4 linked regions of the Schizosaccharomyces pombe genome follow. The main gene of each other region encodes a partner of the protein of the gene in region 2 in a complex. Each region holds a gene or a part of one and is shown on either strand. Other genes may lie near its edges. A codon is read from its position in the direction of its gene.

Region 1 (3,841 bases), on a different chromosome or scaffold from region 2:
TTCCGCTGCAAAAAATTTAAGTAGCACAGAAGCATAATCCATCGAATCTTCCTCTATAACCAGCAAACTTTTCATTGGAATGCCGCCAGACAAATAGTAGTCAAAAGAAGAACTCCCAGAGCTTGTAATCCATCTAGCATCCTTTGAAGATAGTCTAACGCCTGTCGGCAAGTTTGTTGGTGCTATTTGAGGTGCTGCTTTCCTTTTGAACGACATCAATACTTATTTCGATTGGTGTACGTGGAATAGCAAATTGGATGGAAAGGTTAACGCGACGCAAATTTGCAGCACACATTTAAGCATCATCAGTCAGAAAACAAAGAAATTCAGCGTTGCGATTGAGAAAATAAAAAATTGTTGACTAAAGTTAATCATTCAATAAAAATACCTTTTAGATAAATTTTGTTGAACTAATAATAAAATTTCACTAGTGGGCGCATTGAAACAAAAATAATATTGTAATACTACAAAATAACATAGAAAATGTTACGTCGTACAGTCAATTAGCATGATCGGAAAATGTATTACTGTTGTATTTTTGAAGATTACTTTCAATCCGAATCTAGTTGGACAAGACTTATGAGAAATTTAAGTCAACTCAAAGTACAATCTATTCATATTTTATTTTTAAGATCAGGAGAATCTGATTGCTAAAGATACAATTTAATTAGCTCTTCGCTTACCCCACTCTTCGAATCAATGATCCCTAAATCGGTAATGAGACCTGAGACAAATTCGGGTGGTGTAACATCCAAAGTAGGATTATTTCGAATTTGTTCTTCATTCATGATCAGCTCGTTATGAATAGCATCTGATGGAGTTGGAATTGGTTCAGGTTCAGGATGAACAGTTTCAGGAGATGGATCATCAAATTCCAGAATAGGACGACTAAAGGGAATATCATATTGAGAAAGGGGAAACATACGCACGAATTTATGACTAAAAAACGTTAGTACAAATTTTAAAATTAACAGGGAAATGGAGAGATCATAGGGAAAAATAATTGTAAGCTGAATGGATTCAACGTTTACGTACCTTTCTGCAACTGCGTAAAAGGGCTTATGTGCATGTTTGGCAAAAACGGCAAGTTGGAAAGTACCGATTTGATTAATGAGTCCTCCGTTTTCGACAACACCTTCTGCGCCAACCAAGACCAAATCTACACGGTTCATAGTAAAGCTTACAGCGGAATCCAAAACCATGCAAGTAGGAATACAAGCATTTTTTAATGTTCTCGTCATTAGACAGCCTGAGCCGCTAGGTCTTGATTCTGTGACAAAAACTTTGAAACGAACGTGACGCTTGGCAGCAGCCAAAAGAACAGCCGCAACACCGCGTGAAAACCCATGGGTAAGAATAACACTACCATCTCGAATAAGAGGGTAACCTAAATGTGCAATTCTTTGTCGACAAGCACGAGCACGCTGAATAAAGAGTTTTCCATTTTCTACCAAGTGACGTTTGCATTGCTCAAAATCCTAAAGCCGTGGAGAATTAGTAAAGAAAAGAAAACTACTTTGCATCAACACATACCCCGACATCGTGTAGTGATCGAGTGACAAACCGTTGGAAAATGTCACAACCAGCTGAAAGCGAAATGTTGTTTTGAACGCCTTCCTTCAGCGTATTTGAGCCATTTTGTAAAATGTCCATAAATTCTGAAATTGTCTTGGCTAATAGAAAAACATCAGTAAATTCATTTCTCACATGAGTACTACAAATTAACATACCTTGAGAGCGCGACAAAAGCTGGACTAAAGCCTCAATGGCGGCTACAGGCATCGTGATTTCTGGATCATCTTGCAAAAATTTTTTGTAAACCTGGACGATGTCAAATTCTCCTTGAGAATGTCGAACGATTCCCGAAGAATCCGATTCCACCATATTCGCAGATGCTAGACGCTCTTGCTTAGTAGCAACATCTTTTCCATACTTTAAGGATATCCAACAAAATCAAATAACGGGCAATGCCTTTTTGTATTAAATTGTAAGCTACGCAATTTGGTATCTGATTTAAGGATACGTAGAACTGCGGTGAGTTTTCCTTGTGATCTATTATATTACAATACACAGGTTGTATAAGTAGCAACTGAGTATAGGTATTGTATTAACTGAGTTATAATGTTACCTATCACTAATATAGCTCATAACTGAACTGAGGAACGAGGTTCAGCAGTAGCTCTATTTATATTATTCAGATAATATAGATCTTAATAGATTATCATTAAGATCAATCTCAATATCGTATCATACATGGTACGATATATAATTAGAACATGTGACATATAGTGATACGCAACGTAGATGATGCGATGTCGAGATTGATATTGATAATACTATATTAACAGATAGATTATTTGGATAGAATCGATAGAGATACAACTAAACCTCATTTCGCAGTTCAGTTATAAGTGATAGGTGACATTATAACCTAAATAGTACAATACCAGTACTTAGTCATTACTTATATAACCCGGCTATTATAATATAATGGATCATATGCAAAATTCACCAGTTTTTCGTATCGTTAAAGCAGATACCAAACTGCGTAGCTGACATTATACGGCGTTTTGGATACTGATCTACAGATATGTTCCTATAGATATTTATGTAGGTGATTTGAATGGTATTTACATATAAATTGGTTTATTAAATAGCTTATATTTAATTAAAGCTAAATATTGAGAATAATTTTAATATCATATTCTTGACTGAGTACATCTGAGGATAATCATGAAATTCTTCCTCGGTGATCAGTAAACAATGCTTGACTGTTGATTTCCAATATGTAACGTTCAACGATACTTATCATTGTATAGATAGTGAATTTGTAGTATAATTTACTATGTTCCTAATAGTTGAGCGTATCATGAACGAAATATGTCAAAACGCTTCCATTTTAAAAAAAAAGGAGTACTGATGAAAGCAGTAATTGGATTTGGTAAAAAGTAATATAGAAAGTTTTTTAAAAAACTATTTTATGTTTAAGAGACCTTTCAAAAGTTCATGACCATTTCTACGAGAAACTAATCTTTAGTCCAACCTTCGTAAATCTCGCTTATATTAAGCTTGATTTTACTTCGGTATTTATGGATGACGCGAACACTAAACTGGTATAGAAAAAACGCTATTACTTTCAGCATCTAAAGAAAATCATTTATGATAATTTCTATGCTTTCAATTATATCTAAATATTTACATGCTCAATCATTCAAAGCGATGCTACAAAAATATTATGTTTTAGTTGTCGACTCGAATTTCAGTAAAATCCTAACTTTATTGCTAGACATCCGTAGGTTTTCATTTATGCTATAAATCTGTGAATCACCTCGTGATCGGCAAGTTGTTAAAATAATCTTTTAAGTAACTCTAATACCATGCACTATAGTAAAGAAGGTATATATTTCTTTGCGTGCCTAGTTCTTGTTTTCAATAGCAATAGTCGTTATCTCCCATAGCTTTTAATTCTGCTCATCGATGAGAGTAACATATTCCAATATCTTCTCTACATTATCAAATCGTTTTGCAATTATAAAAATATCAATAGCTTTCGATTTCCCCCAATATGGCTAATGCTAAAATTTATAACATTGATGTAGAATTTGGCTTAGTTAAGATGCAAGTTGAAAATGTCTTATGTTTTATGATTATCAGAAAATGTTTTGTGTAGTATCTGATATTAAAAAATGCATATCAACTTTTACAATAAATTCGCTTGCGCAAAATGTATAGAGACTGCATATCTCGTTTCTTCTCCCTGCGGAGTGCCTGTAACTGGCGTCTTGCACTTTCATTCAAAATCGAAATTTTTTGGTAAGGATTTGATAGAGATTGTCACTTG
Region 2 (3,792 bases):
CGTCTCTCCATTCTTGAAGGTTTCAAGCATGATTATTCAGACTAGTTCGTAGCATGCGTATATAATAATAAATTTCACTATTAGCTTACAAGTTAACGCTCTAAATCTGGATAAATAAACACTGTGCATCCATCTTGAATACTTCAATAATGACCATTCTCCATAGCTTTTTATGACTTATATTATGAACATGACCAAAAATATAATAATAAATACAATATGGACTTCATTTTAAAATTCCAATGTTTTTTAAACGAATTTGACGCTCAGCTCTTTCTTTTTTACGTCGCACCGTGGTTTTATGCTTCCTACTTTTAATATGGACATTGAACGCATCTTCTCCTATTACAGTGAATGGATCACCCCGCTTGTCTAAACATTCCTCGCAAACGAACTTCTTTTTCTGAGATTGGCGACCGTTCATTATGGAGAGATAATCTCTGGCTTTTTCGAAAGCGTGCTGATCATCAGCAGATGGAGCAATGGCATCGCCATTATAAAAAAAATATTGAAATACTCTACAAGCCTTTTCAACTTGCTCTTCCCAATTGTTCAAGTCCGTAGTGTTTGTGGTGGAAAATAGAATTGAAGAAGGGGATAAATCTTGTTGAGCCAAACACATCGGGAGGAATCGACTTTGGATCCATTTCTTCTGAGATTTTGCATACTGTCTAGTAGAAACCTTCATTCGTTCTAAACAATCATTAAAGACTATATCCGAAGGCGCTTCAAACCATGGCATGAATTCTTTAAATCCAATACATTGCCAAATCCCACGGGTGAAATCAGGAGAAAATTTTTCACTTTCAGCAAGACTCTTCATGCTTTTTATTTCATCAACCAATCCATGGCTTAGCATTTTGTCAACACGTTTATCAAGTCGCGGCATTAAGACTAAAGAATCTGCGAACGCCCAAAATATTAGAGATTTGTATCGAAGTTTAGAGCCACTTGACTTCATTTTTTGCTCAGAATAAATTTCAGATGGCGGTCGACCGGTGTGAAAATATATCTCTAGGCTTCTTCGAATTTTACGAGTATCCCGAGGATGCCATTGCTCAGCCATCACGGGATCTATCTTTTTTAAATACGAAAGCATAGCAGATGGATCATCATCCAAGATATGAGAGTCCGGATGGGGTGGCTTACTAGGTGATGAATCGTTCGTCAATTTATCAATAGCCGACAAAGTAGTATCTTCAAACAAAAGGGACTGCAAATAATAATGAGTCCCTCCAACCACAATAGGTATCTTTCCTTGACTGTGAATCTCGTCAATTACGCGGGAGGCATCTCGTTCAAACTCGGGAACACTGTATTCTTTGTCAAAGTTCAAGAAGGACATCAAGCGATGATGAACATTCTCTTGCTCTTCCACAGTAATTTTATTGGTTATAGTATCAAATCCCCGATAAATTTGCATCGAGTCAGCATTAATGACTTGGCTTCCAAACCGTTTCGCCAGCTGAACTGCTAAATCCGACTTACCAGCTCCTGTAGTACCGATGACAACGCAAAGGGGCTTTAACATTTTATAAGATATAGATTTTTACCTTATCTTCAATAGATTACACACCGAATCAAGCTTAGACTAACAAATCCATTTCCCAAATTTTCCCAAGCAAGCCTGGCTCTTTACCAACTGATTTTACCTTACATTTTGTTTTGGTTCACTATCCCCGTTCCTTTATTGCGGCGTCAACTTCGGTATATGCTTTAACGATGTTTTAATTACTGTAAACAAGTTATTACATTTTTACAGCGTTCGTATTTGTTCGTTATTAACATGTAAACACTACTTGTCGTTTCCCATCGCCTGAAAATGTCAACTATTAATGTTGAACATACCTATCCGGCTGTAAGTAGCTTGATAGCAGACTTAAAGTCAAGAAAGGTACAAGGCCCCTTTGCAGTTGCCGTTGAAACGGCGCTGGTAATGAGACAAGTGATTTCTCAAACTCGCTGGTCAACAGTTGATCAATTAATTGATACAGTCCGTGCTGTTGGATCTACTCTTGTCAAGGCTCAACCTACTGGTATGTATTTTGAATCATATTCTTTTATTGTGTTACATGCTAAACCGTGAAGAATTTTCTTGTGGAAATATTATTAGAAGAATTTTACGCTTAATCCGCGAAGAATATCAAGAATTATTAAAGACTGCTGATGAAAATGAGAAGTTAATCGTTTCTTCATCGAACTCTTCTAGCCCTTCTCAAAAAAGAGACATTCCCTCTAACGAAAAATTGGTTCAAAGTCACGAACCTGTTTCAGTTCAGATGTACTCTTCTATGCTTAATTTATTAGGTCGTCCTACTCTTGAGTCTCCCACACATAGTAAAACCGTCGGTGACAGTAGGGTCACCGGTGGCATGGATATGCGCGCTGTGATCATATCTGGCATCCAAGATGTAATCGATGAGTTGGACAAGATTAATACTGATATTGAAGTTCAATCAATGGACCATTTGCATTCAAAGTATGGTGTCATGCTAAACATCTTATCAGTTAGCTAACCTTTTTAGTGAAATTATTTTAACTCAGGGTTGCTCAAAAACTGTTGAAGCTTTTCTCCGTTTTGCCGCAAAGAAACGCAAATTTTCAGTGATTGTTGCAGAAGGATTTCCCAATAACCAAAAAGGTTCTCATGCCATGGCAAAGCGATTAGCTCAGGCTGGTATTGATACAACTGTTATATCTGATGCTACGATTTTTGCAATCATGTCACGCGTGAATAAAGTTATACTTGGTACGCATGCAATCTTGGGTAACGGAGGATTGGTAACCTATAGTGGAGCCCAATTAGTTGCTCAGGCTGCCAGGCACCATGCTACTCCCGTAGTGGTGTGTTCGGGTATTTATAAGCTTAGCCCTGTTTACCCTTATGACTTAGAATCCATTATCCAACTGTCTTCACCTGATAAAATTATGTCCTTTAATGAAGGTGATCTAATAAGCCGCGCTGAAATTTTAAACCCTTACTATGATTACATCCCACCAGACCTAGTAGATCTGTTTATTACCAATTTGGGTGGCTATCCTCCTTCCTACCTTTATCGTATTATGAATGATACTTATGATGCAAGCGATACAATTCTTTAAAGAGTTTGCATTCTATTTTCTCTTGGAAAATTGATTACCTATTAAATCAAGTTTATCAAATTTCTTTACACGTGTTTAGGTAAATATTAAAATTTTGGAATAAATAACATGGGTTACATTAGATTGAATTTTTTTAACTGTGGGTTTCTGTTGCAAGTAATACAGGCAATTAACTCAGCAAAATAAAACTTTGAAATTAAAGTAAATGGACTATGAATTTTAACGAGTTTCCTTTCATTGTCTAATGATTTGAAATATGCAGTAATTAAAAAAACTAGGGCCACTAATATACAAACCAATTTGATTACTTTTCCCTTCGTAAACTGCTTTGCACTTCCATCTCAATGTCTTTGGGACTTGCTTGTCCTCGAAGCTCTCTCATCGTAAGGCCAACAAACCACTTTATAAGGGAAGTTTTACCATTTTTCAACTCTTCAAATTGTTTTGAATGTTTACTAAGAACACTTTCTACACAAGCTTTTATTTTCTCGGAATCGCCAATGGTACCAAAATTTTTTTCTTGGATGAGAGTAGATATAGGTTTCGATGAAGGTGATTTTATCAATGAACGAAGGAAGAGTTTAGCAGATGCAGCTGTAAGTTTCTTCTTGGAAACAAGAAGTACAATGTCAGCCAATTGCAAAGGAGGAACGATATTGATGTTAGGGGAAGGGTCAATTTCACGAACTT
Region 3 (4,729 bases), 2.0 Mb from region 2:
ATTTACTCGATTTCTCAAAAAAAACAATAAAAAAGGATCAATAAGAATACCTTTATTAAGAAAAACTTCTTCTTTGGAAAATTAAAGAATACACTTACTGTTGTTTATTTCAGTGTTTGTTATTGTATTCACAATTATTTATTTGTTTACTTATTACATAAGGCTAGTGGATCACCTTAATCTTTCTAACTACACACACCATAAGAGTACAAAATTTTAGCAAGTATTTTGTATCAATTGAAATGTTTAACTTTACAAGACAGTATAGTGTTAAAGACGGCTTAATAACAGATGAATTGGCCAGTCACATCGTTGAGAACTTGCCAGCAAGATATGCTTCTGCTGAAACTTGGAAACGAATCTATTCGTTGCAACATGACGGCGCATCTCTTCAAACAATGTACTTAGCCTGCGAAAAGGAAAAAGCTCGAAGCGGCCATCCTAAAGGGGCTTGCATTTTAGCTGTGCGCGATACAGACGGCGATGTTTTTGGAGTTTTTATCCCTGATTATTTAATTCCTGCACCTCATTACTTTGGTTCCGAGGAAACCTTCTTGTGGAAATATTTTCCTCCCAAAAAGTATGTACATTACCCTTTCGTAGGAAATTCCAATTTTGTTGCATATTGCACCAAAAGCTTTTTGGCATTTGGTGGGGGTAATGGAAGATACAGCCTTTGGCTTGATGGCTCTCTAGAGTACGCTTACTCTAGTCGTACTCCTGCATTCGAAAACAATCCTTTGAGCTATCGTGGCTGTCCTGACCAACGAATCCAAATCGTGGACATCGAGCTCTGGGTATTGGAGTAATATCAACTAACGAATGAAAAGAAAAAAGAAAATAAAAGATGGACTCGGAAATGTGCATCAGCCCAAGTTTTATATTTATATCAAGATTAATATTTTACCGTGCTTTCTTTATGACTAATTTATTCAACCAAAGACAATTTTATGCTGACTCTATGCATTGATTATTATTCTTAATTCAAGTTAACTCGTTGATTTGCATGTTCAATCAATGAATATCGAGTTTACCAGAAATTCGAGCCGTAGGACTCTTCCCTCCCATTTGTGATGTATAGCTTTCTATCATCAGCTAATTTTTAATACTTCTTCTCAATTCCGGAAGATTACGTTTGTTAATTGATCAAGCATGAATATCCTTGCTATTAATTTCTTTACGCCTTATGCATTGAGTGAACGAATCAAATGAAGAGCATCCCCAATATCTTCTCCCCAATTGTCTATTATTTATTAATTTTCTCTTTTTCTATTCATAACTTTTAATGCTACACTTAGTATATTTATTCACGTGGTTGCTTTTCATCAACAATTCGTATCGTCCCTAATTGACGAATCGATTTCTACCATCCACTTTATATCAGTAATAATAATTATTATGAAGTTTTATTTATTATGTTTCTTTTTGATTACCGTGTAAACACTTGAAACCTGTATTCAAATCTCGATAAACTACCATAAGATTAGTAAAATGTTTGCAACCACTACCCAATTGTAGAAAACAAATTGACAAAATTTACCAACTTAACAGGATAAATCACCGTTTATATCTTCTGTTTATTATGTGGAATTTTTGTGGTTACTTAAATAAAACCACTTTCTTTCGCCAATAAACTATAAAAGAAATGAGCTATGCAAATTTAATATCCTAAATTTAATTACTCTTTGATTATTAACGTCTTTATAAATTCCTTTTTAGTCTCTAGTTGATGAATTGTTTAGAATAATCTTTAAGTTATAAGGCAGTGGAGCACGGCATCCTTAAATGACTGTTTGGGCTTAAATGATATTGAGAAATATGTCTAATCCCTCTACATTGTCGAAATGCCTCCATCCAAAGGGCTGAATGGCAAGCTAGAAAAGCCAAAACACGCTCTGCAAGGTAATGTTTTTGGGATTCAAAAAGTGTTTGTTACTAATTTTTAGCGATTGTTTTGTCGGATTCTTATAATTATCGGTTTCGCCCTCTTACATTAGATAAACCTCGCGTATGCAATTACCAGTGTACACTTTAAGTACTAATATTATTAGTGTCTTCTTCCTTTAGCAAATACCCCTTTAATAGAGTACACTTTTGAGTTTTTGGCATTGGCCGGGGTGCAAGAAGTTTATGTATTTTGCTGTGCCCATGCAGGACAAATTCGAGAATATATAGAGTATGTGCTAAATTGAGGTCTTAAATTCGAATTTCTGATACGATATAACTAACACAATATAACCCACAGAAAGTCAAAGTGGAATCTTCCCTCTTCCCCCTTTAGTGTAAACACGATTGTGTCAAGAGAATCTCTGTCGGTTGGTGATGCTTTAAGAGAGCTCGATTCAAAACAGCTAATTACCTCCGATTTCATACTCGTATCAGGCGATGTGGTATCCAATGTGCCTCTAAACGAAGTTTTGAAAGAACATCGGAAGCGCCGTGAAGATGATAAAAATGCTATTATGACAATGGTTGTACGAGAAGCAAGTCCATTTCATCGTACACGCGCCCGTACAGAGAGTTCTGTTTTCGTGATAGATAAAAAGACCAGCCAATGCGTGCATTATCAAGCTAACGAAAGGGGAAAACATTATGTTTCTATGGATCCCGAAATCTTTAATGAGCATGAAGAGTTGGAGGTTCGAAATGATTTGATTGACTGTCAAATTGACATTTGCTCCAATGATGTACCTGCCCTTTTTACTGAAAACTTTGATTACCAAGACATTCGAAAAGACTTCGTATATGGTGTTTTAACCTCTGATCTTTTAGGAAAAAAGATTCATTGCCATGTTGCTAAAGAAAATTATGCAGCTCGTGTTCGTAGTCTTCAAACTTATGATGCTATTAGCAAAGATGTTCTTTCTCGATGGGTCTATCCTTTTGTTCCCGATAGCAATCTTCTTAACCAAACTTTTAGTTATCAAAGACATCAGATTTATAAGGAAGAAGACGTTGTTCTTGCTCGTTCTTGCATTATTAAGGCACGAACTTTGATCGGTGCCTATACCAAAGTCGGTGATGCGTCTGTGGTTGCGAATACTATCATTGGTAGGAATTGTACCATAGGCAGCAATTGTAGTATAGACAGTGCTTTCCTTTGGGAAGATGTTGTCATTGGAGATAATTGTCGAATTGGCAAAGCCATTCTTGCCAATTCTGTAAAAATTGGAAATAATTGTTCAATTGAAGATGGTGCTATAGTAGCTGCAGGCGTTGTTATTGGGGATAATACAATAATTGAAAAAAATAAGCGTCTTACAACTTTCGAGAGTCACTCTCAAGGAACTTTGAACGATCCATCTTTGGTAGGGATTGGTGGACGTGGTCAAGAATATCATGCCGAAGAGGATTCTGATGATGAGGGAGAGTTTATGGAGGCTTCAGGGCTTATTGAAAGTACAAATGAGTTACATTTATCTGATTCAGAATCTTCAGAGACAAGTTCGTCTTCTGAAGAAGATATGGAATTTATTCCCTTTTCAGCTAGACGCGATTCTGCCAATACAATTAACTCAGAGGATTTCGATGAAGGAGATTTCAACAAGGAAGCTCAGCAGAGTCTTGAACGTGCCTTTGAAGAAAACCACCAAATTGATATTGCTGCTCTTGAACTCAATACCCTCCGAATGGCCATGAATGCCAACTATCACGAGGTGCGATCCGCAATTGTTCTTGCTCTTTTAAGGCGTATCATGCACTTAGATGTATCCCCCAAGGAGGCACTAGCAAAAGTAATGACACGTTGGGGTCCATTGCTTGCAAAACTGACATTTAGCCATGAAGAGCAAGTTGACAACGTATTAACGCTGCAGAAGTACTGTGTCCGTTTGAGTATGACTCGGCACTTTTTACAACTTTTGGGATATTTCTACCAATTAGAAATTGCTGAAGAGAATGCCATTCAAGAATGGTATTCTGATCCCCGCTCTAGCGAAGGAGAATTGGCTGCGCTTCGTGATGCCGGTGGCAAACAATTTGTCGACTGGTTGAATACTGCTGAAAGTGAAAGCGAGAGTGAAGAAGGGTCAGAATAATAGTTCCCTTACAAATCCTGAACTCTGACTTAAAACAGTGTTATGAAAGTGGTTTCTGTCTACTCAAAAAAAAAGGGTCACTCATAATTTAGCTGGCTATTATTTTCTAGCAAATAATAATACGATAGAGAAGAAAAATAAAATTTTGGTCTACAGGGCGCGTTGTTAAAATCCAGCACTATTCTGTTAATTACACGCATAGTTATTTACGATAATATCAGTTGGACGAATTCAATATTTTTAGCTGAAATGTAAGAAATACAACAAGCGAATGAAGATAATATAATTTGAGCAAACCGAAGAAAATAGTGGCTAAAATACAATGCAAAAACTGAAAAGTTATATTGATTATGTCTCTTCTGTACATGTTTCTAGTTGTAGTTGATATGAAAGACAATTCCGACACTGTTTGGAATTTGTGGAATTTAAACAACTAGTCATGGGATATGAAAAGCCTTTCTTCGAAAAGAAAGCCTTAACTTGAACCCCAAAGAGAACATAGATACATAGACCAAAGATTAAACCTTTAACTAAATCAAACAGAAGTGATAGATAGTTTTTTATATAAAACAAAAGTAAAAGAGACCTGATAGTAAAAATAAGAAATATATAACATTAAGACTTTTCCATCAATGTGGATGCTGTAAGTCTGCTTGAATGGGATCCTGTAACATCTGTTGAGGATACATAGG
Region 4 (4,314 bases), 2.6 Mb from region 2:
TCAAGCTTGATTGGTAACTTGGGGTGATCATTACTGTTGGTAGGGACTTTTTCAAGAGCATCCAAAACATTTAAACCACCGACAACTCGACCAAATATTGTATGTTTATTGTCCAAATGTTTCGCTGGTCCATACAATATAAAGCTATAAATCAGGTTAGCACTTGCATTTCTTTGAAGCTTTTAAAAAATAGAGAAGAAAACACTTACAATTGACTTCCATTGGTATTTTTTCCACGATTGGCCATAGATATAATTCCACGATCGTCATGCTTTAAAGGGTTACAAAACTCGTCCTTAAACGGCTTGCCCCAAATACTTTGACCACCTCTTCCAGTTCCACTAGGATCACCTCCTTGAATCATAAATCTAGCAATATTGCGATGAAAAATTGTATTACGATAATAGCCCTGCTTGGCAAGCTGGACAAAATTGTAAACAGCATGGGGTGCATAGTCTGTATGCAACTCAATATTAATTTCTCCGTGATTAGTAACAATACGCGCGTATCCTTTGTGCTTGATCCGCGTATGGTTAAGCATATAATCTTCTTCAGCAATAATTGCTCTTTCATTCTTCGTTACAGGAGTAAATGATGTGGAGGTTAAGGAAGCTGCAGCATAACCAGTTGTATGGGATGCGCGATGAATTGGCATATCAGAAGCTATAGATTTAGATGAATCGAGAGAATGCGATAACTCAGGTGATGAAGTTGACTCCGTTGACTTGGCGCGAGATGCTTGTAAAGCAATTTTGGCCTTGGTTATTTTTTCATCTCTTGCGGTTTCCTTTTGTTTTTGAATGGCCGAAAAATCTCGGTTCTCAACGTTATGAGGATCCTGGATGGTAATTATGTCGTCTCTGGTAAATTGCTCTTCGTTCACGAGATCCCTCCAATGTTTTGGTTTTATGTTCAAACGTTCAATAGTATCCCAAGAAAAACAATTCCCTGTAGAACGGATAGCCACGATGTGTGAAAAGCGCGTAAAGCTTTTCATCGTAACTGGATCACAATACTCTTCAGCACTGTTTTTTGCAAACTTGAGCTTTATTAAATCTGACATTGATGCCTTTTGTCCATTAATAGGATTAGTACCATGTTTTCGAAGCCAAGGAACAATAAATCTAACACATGTTAGCGCTCATCACCACTTTTTTATGAAGAATGAAAGATTTCCAAAAGCAACTAGATTAGTTGGTAAACAAATATCATTTAATACCAAAAAATTTGCTTCGAAACTCACATCTAATAGTGATTTACATACCTAAAATCGAAAATAATGGCTTGCTTGGTTTCATCCACAAGACAACAAGGATGGTTAAAGGGCTGCAAGGAAAGAGAGCAATAATTAAAAGGAAGTTGTTTGTAACTTGTGGTACTGTTCTTTTGGGCTATGCCACTCATACCACCATGCCACCCATGCACACCCGAATGCTCAGTTTGTGTAATGTACAGTTTGTCTGTATTTTTGCCCATTCCTGTTAATAAATATCATAAATACGTTTGTACGGTTATAAAAAATAAAAATAAAAGTTCTTAATTTTATGATATTTTAAGGCGATAAAGTAATTAATTTCTAGTAATATATATGCGAACTACAAGTATACGTTGTCGAATAGCGTTGGTGTAGTAAGGGTAAGGTCACTAAGCGCACGTTGGGTGTTATAGCTAAACTCATCTACGCTTCTACCAAAACAAACCAATTTAATAGAAATATTGATTTTCTGATGGGGTTCTCAGCAGAACAAGCAAAAAAGGATGGGAAGGATCAAAGCCCTGTTAGTGAAAGCTCTAGTGTGGGAGGAACATCTCCAGCTACAGCTTCTTCTGTCGTTTCTCCCAATGAGCCAAAACTTTCAGGGAAGGAGGCAAAAGCGTTGAAAAAGGCCAGAAAACAAGCAAGTAGAAGAGCAAAAGCCGAAGCAGCTGCCGCGAATAATCCACCCGGTGTTTCAGAAGAAAAAAAGGTAGCTATCCCTAATAAAAATAGTAACCAACAAAAGAAGGCATCGAAACAAAACCCGCAGAATAGTCCAGAAACTGATGCTAATTTGCAAGAAAAAAAGATTTTTGAGGAAAAGCAAGTTTCTATCTTTTCGCACCTCGATTGGAGACGTCGTAGAACCACTGAAAATATTCCGAAAGATATCCATCCTGCTGTTATTCGTTTGGGTTTAAAACTTGCAAATTATAAGATTTTTGGATCGAATCAGCGCTGTATTGATTTGTTGAAAACTTTTAAAATCGTCATCCAAGATTATCAAACACCCTACGGTACGACGTTGAGCAGGCATCTGACCACGCATATAAATTCTCAAATTGCTTATTTAGTATCAACTCGTCCGTTGAGTATCAGTATGGGGAACGCCATTCGCTTTTTAAAACTCGAAATTTCTGTTTTAGACATTGACCTTACCGACGACGAGGGAAAAGAATTGCTTCTGGAAAAAATTGACAGTTATATTCGCGATCGTATTATCATTGCAGGACAAGTCATCGTACAAGCAGCAACCGAAAAAATACAAGACGGAGATGTCATTTTAACGTACTTGCACTCTTCGACAGTAAACGATGTTCTCATTCATGCTAAGAATGTTGGTAAAAAATTCCGGGTTGTCGTGGTAGACTCTCGTCCAGAATTTGAAGGCCGGGTTTGTTTGAAGCTGTTGACCGAGCATGGGATTGAATGTACCTATGTCATGATTTCAGCGCTTTCCTATATCATGCAAGAAGTGACCAAAATTTTCCTTGGAGGCCATGCTATGCTTTCGAATGGTGCTCTATATTCTCGTGCCGGTACCTCTTTAATTTCCCTTTTGGGACACGAGTCTAATGTTCCAGTAATAGCGTGTTGCGAGTCTTATAAATTTACTGAGCGCATTCAATTGGATTCGTTGGTATACAATGAACTTGCACCTGGCGATCAACTTGTAAACATGGGTGTGGATGACTTTGAAGAAAAACCTGGTGTACTCGCAAATTGGAAAAGTGTTAAGAACTTAAAATTACTCAGTCTAAAATACGATGTTACTCCACCTCGTCTAATTACTGTATGTGTTTGTGAAATGGGGCTTTTACCTTCAACCTCGGTACCGGCTATCATAAACGAGTTCAAACAGGTTTATGCTTAATTTCTCTAATTTCCTTTTGTTTTTTTGTTTCGTCCACCTCAGAGGTAATTTATGAGCATATCCATGTTTGCTTCCTTGAAGTACCTTTCATTTTCCCTTTGTTATTTCTCATTCCTTTCTCAATGCTTGGAAGATTTGGTTTGTGTGAAAATAAAAAATTCATTATATTTAAATTTACAAAAGTTCATTGTTTACTCTTTTCTTAAAGGAACCTAAACTGTTCTAATTTTTCCATGTAGATTATATATTGGCATTTAAATTGTCTCAACATGATTTTTGACATATTGGTATATCCAAGGGGAGCTATTGGCATGGTTAAGAGTAATGATGTTCTTTTGTTGTATTAATGGTTAATATTTGTAGATGAAATGAAATGAGCAGGGATCGTACAATGTCATTTCATCACTTCATTTCCGGCTATAGTATGCTGATGCTTCGGATATATCGGAGAAAACTTGCAATCTCTTTTTTTTTAAGACACAAAATAGAAAGCTGTTACTCGATATTCAATTTTTTTTTTTTTAAATTATAGAACTGATGTTCGAAGCTGAAATAAAATTTTGCATCACAAGCTTTACGCTTGATGTCAGCTTATGATCTAAAACCTGTAATAATTTAAGAGCGATTCTAGTAATAAACACCAGAATTAAATATTATTTTTTTAAGAAAAGGGAAATTTTGTTCCTCATCGAAGAAAATTCATCTTCAGTATGTTTTGACCTTAGGTTTTTTTCCTACAGTGATATTACTGTATTGCAAACAAATAATAATATATATCTTTATAATATACACTAATAATTTTGCCATATCCTCCTTGGATTCCCCCGAAAAGTAACAAAAACAATGTGATGCGAAATCATCATCTCAACCACTTATCGATTTTAGAAATTCGGTTTACTGTAAAAGAGTCCTATTCTAGCCTCAGGAAACCAAGTGAATTCAAGTACTTTACCTATGGGCAATGAATAGGTTCACCGTTAGGAGCAAGTTTATAAAGTTCTCATTCCAGCTATTTAGAAATTACAGCGTTTGTCTAAATTCATCGAAATCTCTCATTCGTGTTGAAGGAGTTGATGCAGTCAAGTTTCTTCAGGGCTTAACGACCAACAAAATAACTTTAGATAATCCTGTATACACGGGCTTCTTAAATACACAGGTAAGGAGCTTGCGGTGTTGGGTTTAA

Evidence for each region.
Region 1: the proteins of tif222 (region 2) and gcn3 are in contact, whole or in part, in a crystal structure (PDB 5B04), measured with the Schizosaccharomyces pombe proteins. Residues at the interface, in NP_593435.1 of Schizosaccharomyces pombe: Tyr137 (codon at 2,283), Ser138 (codon at 2,286), Ser139 (codon at 2,289), Met140 (codon at 2,292), Leu141 (codon at 2,295), Asn142 (codon at 2,298), Leu143 (codon at 2,301), Leu144 (codon at 2,304), Gly145 (codon at 2,307), Arg146 (codon at 2,310), Pro147 (codon at 2,313), Asn284 (codon at 2,770), Tyr320 (codon at 2,878), Tyr322 (codon at 2,884), Asp323 (codon at 2,887), Glu325 (codon at 2,893), Ser376 (codon at 3,046), Tyr379 (codon at 3,055), Arg380 (codon at 3,058); in NP_588203.1 of Schizosaccharomyces pombe: Ile40 (codon at 1,767), Ile85 (codon at 1,575), Phe86 (codon at 1,572), Arg88 (codon at 1,566), Phe89 (codon at 1,563), Arg92 (codon at 1,554), His106 (codon at 1,457), Asn110 (codon at 1,445), Leu113 (codon at 1,436), Phe114 (codon at 1,433), Arg117 (codon at 1,424), Ala118 (codon at 1,421), Leu128 (codon at 1,391), Pro131 (codon at 1,382), Leu132 (codon at 1,379), Arg134 (codon at 1,373), Tyr241 (codon at 1,052), Ser246 (codon at 1,037), His247 (codon at 938), Phe249 (codon at 932), Leu323 (codon at 710), Ile325 (codon at 704), Ile326 (codon at 701), Asp327 (codon at 698), Ser328 (codon at 695), Ser330 (codon at 689), Gly331 (codon at 686), Glu334 (codon at 677), Glu335 (codon at 674), Leu336 (codon at 671).
Region 3: the proteins of tif222 (region 2) and tif225 are in contact, whole or in part, in a crystal structure (PDB 5B04), measured with the Schizosaccharomyces pombe proteins. Residues at the interface, in NP_593435.1 of Schizosaccharomyces pombe: Glu7 (codon at 1,841), His8 (codon at 1,844), Ser14 (codon at 1,862), Ser15 (codon at 1,865), Lys21 (codon at 1,883), Ser22 (codon at 1,886), Arg23 (codon at 1,889), Ala68 (codon at 2,024), Glu325 (codon at 2,893), Gln329 (codon at 2,905), Leu330 (codon at 2,908), Ser331 (codon at 2,911), Ser332 (codon at 2,914), Pro333 (codon at 2,917), Asp334 (codon at 2,920), Met337 (codon at 2,929), Ser338 (codon at 2,932), Phe339 (codon at 2,935), Asn340 (codon at 2,938), Gly342 (codon at 2,944), Ile345 (codon at 2,953), Ser346 (codon at 2,956), Arg347 (codon at 2,959), Glu349 (codon at 2,965), Leu351 (codon at 2,971), Tyr354 (codon at 2,980); in NP_594285.1 of Schizosaccharomyces pombe: Leu88 (codon at 2,262), Pro89 (codon at 2,265), Ser90 (codon at 2,268), Arg160 (codon at 2,478), Glu161 (codon at 2,481), Ala162 (codon at 2,484), Ser163 (codon at 2,487), His166 (codon at 2,496), Arg167 (codon at 2,499), Thr168 (codon at 2,502), Ile219 (codon at 2,655), Glu268 (codon at 2,802), Asn269 (codon at 2,805), Tyr270 (codon at 2,808), Asp286 (codon at 2,856), Arg290 (codon at 2,868), Trp291 (codon at 2,871), Tyr293 (codon at 2,877), Pro294 (codon at 2,880), Asp298 (codon at 2,892), Ser299 (codon at 2,895), Asn300 (codon at 2,898), Leu301 (codon at 2,901), Asn303 (codon at 2,907), Tyr308 (codon at 2,922), Arg310 (codon at 2,928), His311 (codon at 2,931), Gln312 (codon at 2,934).
Region 4: the proteins of tif222 (region 2) and tif224 are in contact, whole or in part, in a crystal structure (PDB 5B04), measured with the Schizosaccharomyces pombe proteins. Residues at the interface, in NP_593435.1 of Schizosaccharomyces pombe: Ile204 (codon at 2,530), Glu233 (codon at 2,617), Phe235 (codon at 2,623), Gln239 (codon at 2,635), Lys240 (codon at 2,638), His243 (codon at 2,647), Ala244 (codon at 2,650), Ala246 (codon at 2,656), Lys247 (codon at 2,659), Ala250 (codon at 2,668), Gly253 (codon at 2,677), Ile254 (codon at 2,680), Asp255 (codon at 2,683), Thr256 (codon at 2,686), Thr257 (codon at 2,689), Val258 (codon at 2,692), Ile259 (codon at 2,695), Ser260 (codon at 2,698), Asp261 (codon at 2,701), Ala262 (codon at 2,704), Thr263 (codon at 2,707), Ile264 (codon at 2,710), Phe265 (codon at 2,713), Ala266 (codon at 2,716), Ile267 (codon at 2,719), Ser269 (codon at 2,725), Arg270 (codon at 2,728), Ser291 (codon at 2,791), Gly292 (codon at 2,794), Gln294 (codon at 2,800); in NP_594503.1 of Schizosaccharomyces pombe: Ile122 (codon at 2,091), Phe123 (codon at 2,094), Tyr274 (codon at 2,547), Ser301 (codon at 2,628), Arg302 (codon at 2,631), Phe305 (codon at 2,640), Arg308 (codon at 2,649), Leu311 (codon at 2,658), Lys312 (codon at 2,661), Thr315 (codon at 2,670), Glu316 (codon at 2,673), Cys321 (codon at 2,688), Thr322 (codon at 2,691), Tyr323 (codon at 2,694), Val324 (codon at 2,697), Met325 (codon at 2,700), Ile326 (codon at 2,703), Ser327 (codon at 2,706), Ala328 (codon at 2,709), Leu329 (codon at 2,712), Ser330 (codon at 2,715), Tyr331 (codon at 2,718), Ile332 (codon at 2,721), Gln334 (codon at 2,727), Ala356 (codon at 2,793), Gly357 (codon at 2,796), Ser359 (codon at 2,802), Leu360 (codon at 2,805), Leu363 (codon at 2,814), Leu364 (codon at 2,817).

The regions. Positions count from the first base shown.
Region 1 is NC_003421.2:1,464,123-1,467,963, forward strand, and holds gcn3 (translation initiation factor eIF2B alpha subunit Gcn3), read right to left. Parts: upstream 1,898-3,841; 5' UTR 1,885-1,897; coding exon 1,731-1,884; exon of another isoform or gene 1,674-1,730; coding exon 1,534-1,673; exon of another isoform or gene 1,479-1,533; coding exon 1,036-1,478; intron 940-1,035; coding exon 651-939; 3' UTR 508-650; downstream 1-507. Other genes in the region: elongator complex subunit Elp4, read right to left, coding at 1-216.
Region 2 is NC_003424.3:1,671,686-1,675,477, reverse strand, and holds tif222 (translation initiation factor eIF2B beta subunit), read left to right. Parts: upstream 1-1,801; 5' UTR 1,802-1,822; coding exon 1,823-2,036; intron 2,037-2,088; coding exon 2,089-2,479; exon of another isoform or gene 2,480-2,497; intron 2,498-2,525; coding exon 2,526-3,102; 3' UTR 3,103-3,281; downstream 3,282-3,792. Other genes in the region: tit1 (tRNA isopentenyltransferase), read right to left, coding at 227-1,531; glutamyl-tRNA amidotransferase beta subunit Gta2, read right to left, coding at 3,407-3,792. UniProt on the Schizosaccharomyces pombe protein: Acts as a component of the translation initiation factor 2B (eIF2B) complex, which catalyzes the exchange of GDP for GTP on the eukaryotic initiation factor 2 (eIF2) complex gamma subunit.
Region 3 is NC_003424.3:3,668,613-3,673,341, reverse strand, and holds tif225 (translation initiation factor eIF2B epsilon subunit tif225), read left to right. Parts: upstream 1-1,835; 5' UTR 1,836-1,844; coding exon 1,845-1,902; exon of another isoform or gene 1,903-1,946; coding exon 1,947-2,008; exon of another isoform or gene 2,009-2,051; coding exon 2,052-2,176; exon of another isoform or gene 2,177-2,245; coding exon 2,246-4,037; 3' UTR 4,038-4,212; downstream 4,213-4,729. Other genes in the region: V-type ATPase inhibitor and disassembly protein in response to oxidative stress Oxr1, read left to right, coding at 243-809; stress-responsive DNA-binding transcription factor Prr1, read right to left, coding at 4,667-4,729. UniProt on the Schizosaccharomyces pombe protein: Acts as a component of the translation initiation factor 2B (eIF2B) complex, which catalyzes the exchange of GDP for GTP on the eukaryotic initiation factor 2 (eIF2) complex gamma subunit.
Region 4 is NC_003424.3:4,256,009-4,260,322, forward strand, and holds tif224 (translation initiation factor eIF2B delta subunit tif224), read left to right. Parts: upstream 1-1,691; 5' UTR 1,692-1,727; coding exon 1,728-3,131; 3' UTR 3,132-3,775; downstream 3,776-4,314. Other genes in the region: cyclophilin family peptidyl-prolyl cis-trans isomerase Cyp8, read right to left, coding at 1-144, 210-1,124, 1,265-1,476; iba57 (iron-sulfur cluster biogenesis IBA57-like protein), read left to right, coding at 4,093-4,287. UniProt on the Schizosaccharomyces pombe protein: Acts as a component of the translation initiation factor 2B (eIF2B) complex, which catalyzes the exchange of GDP for GTP on the eukaryotic initiation factor 2 (eIF2) complex gamma subunit.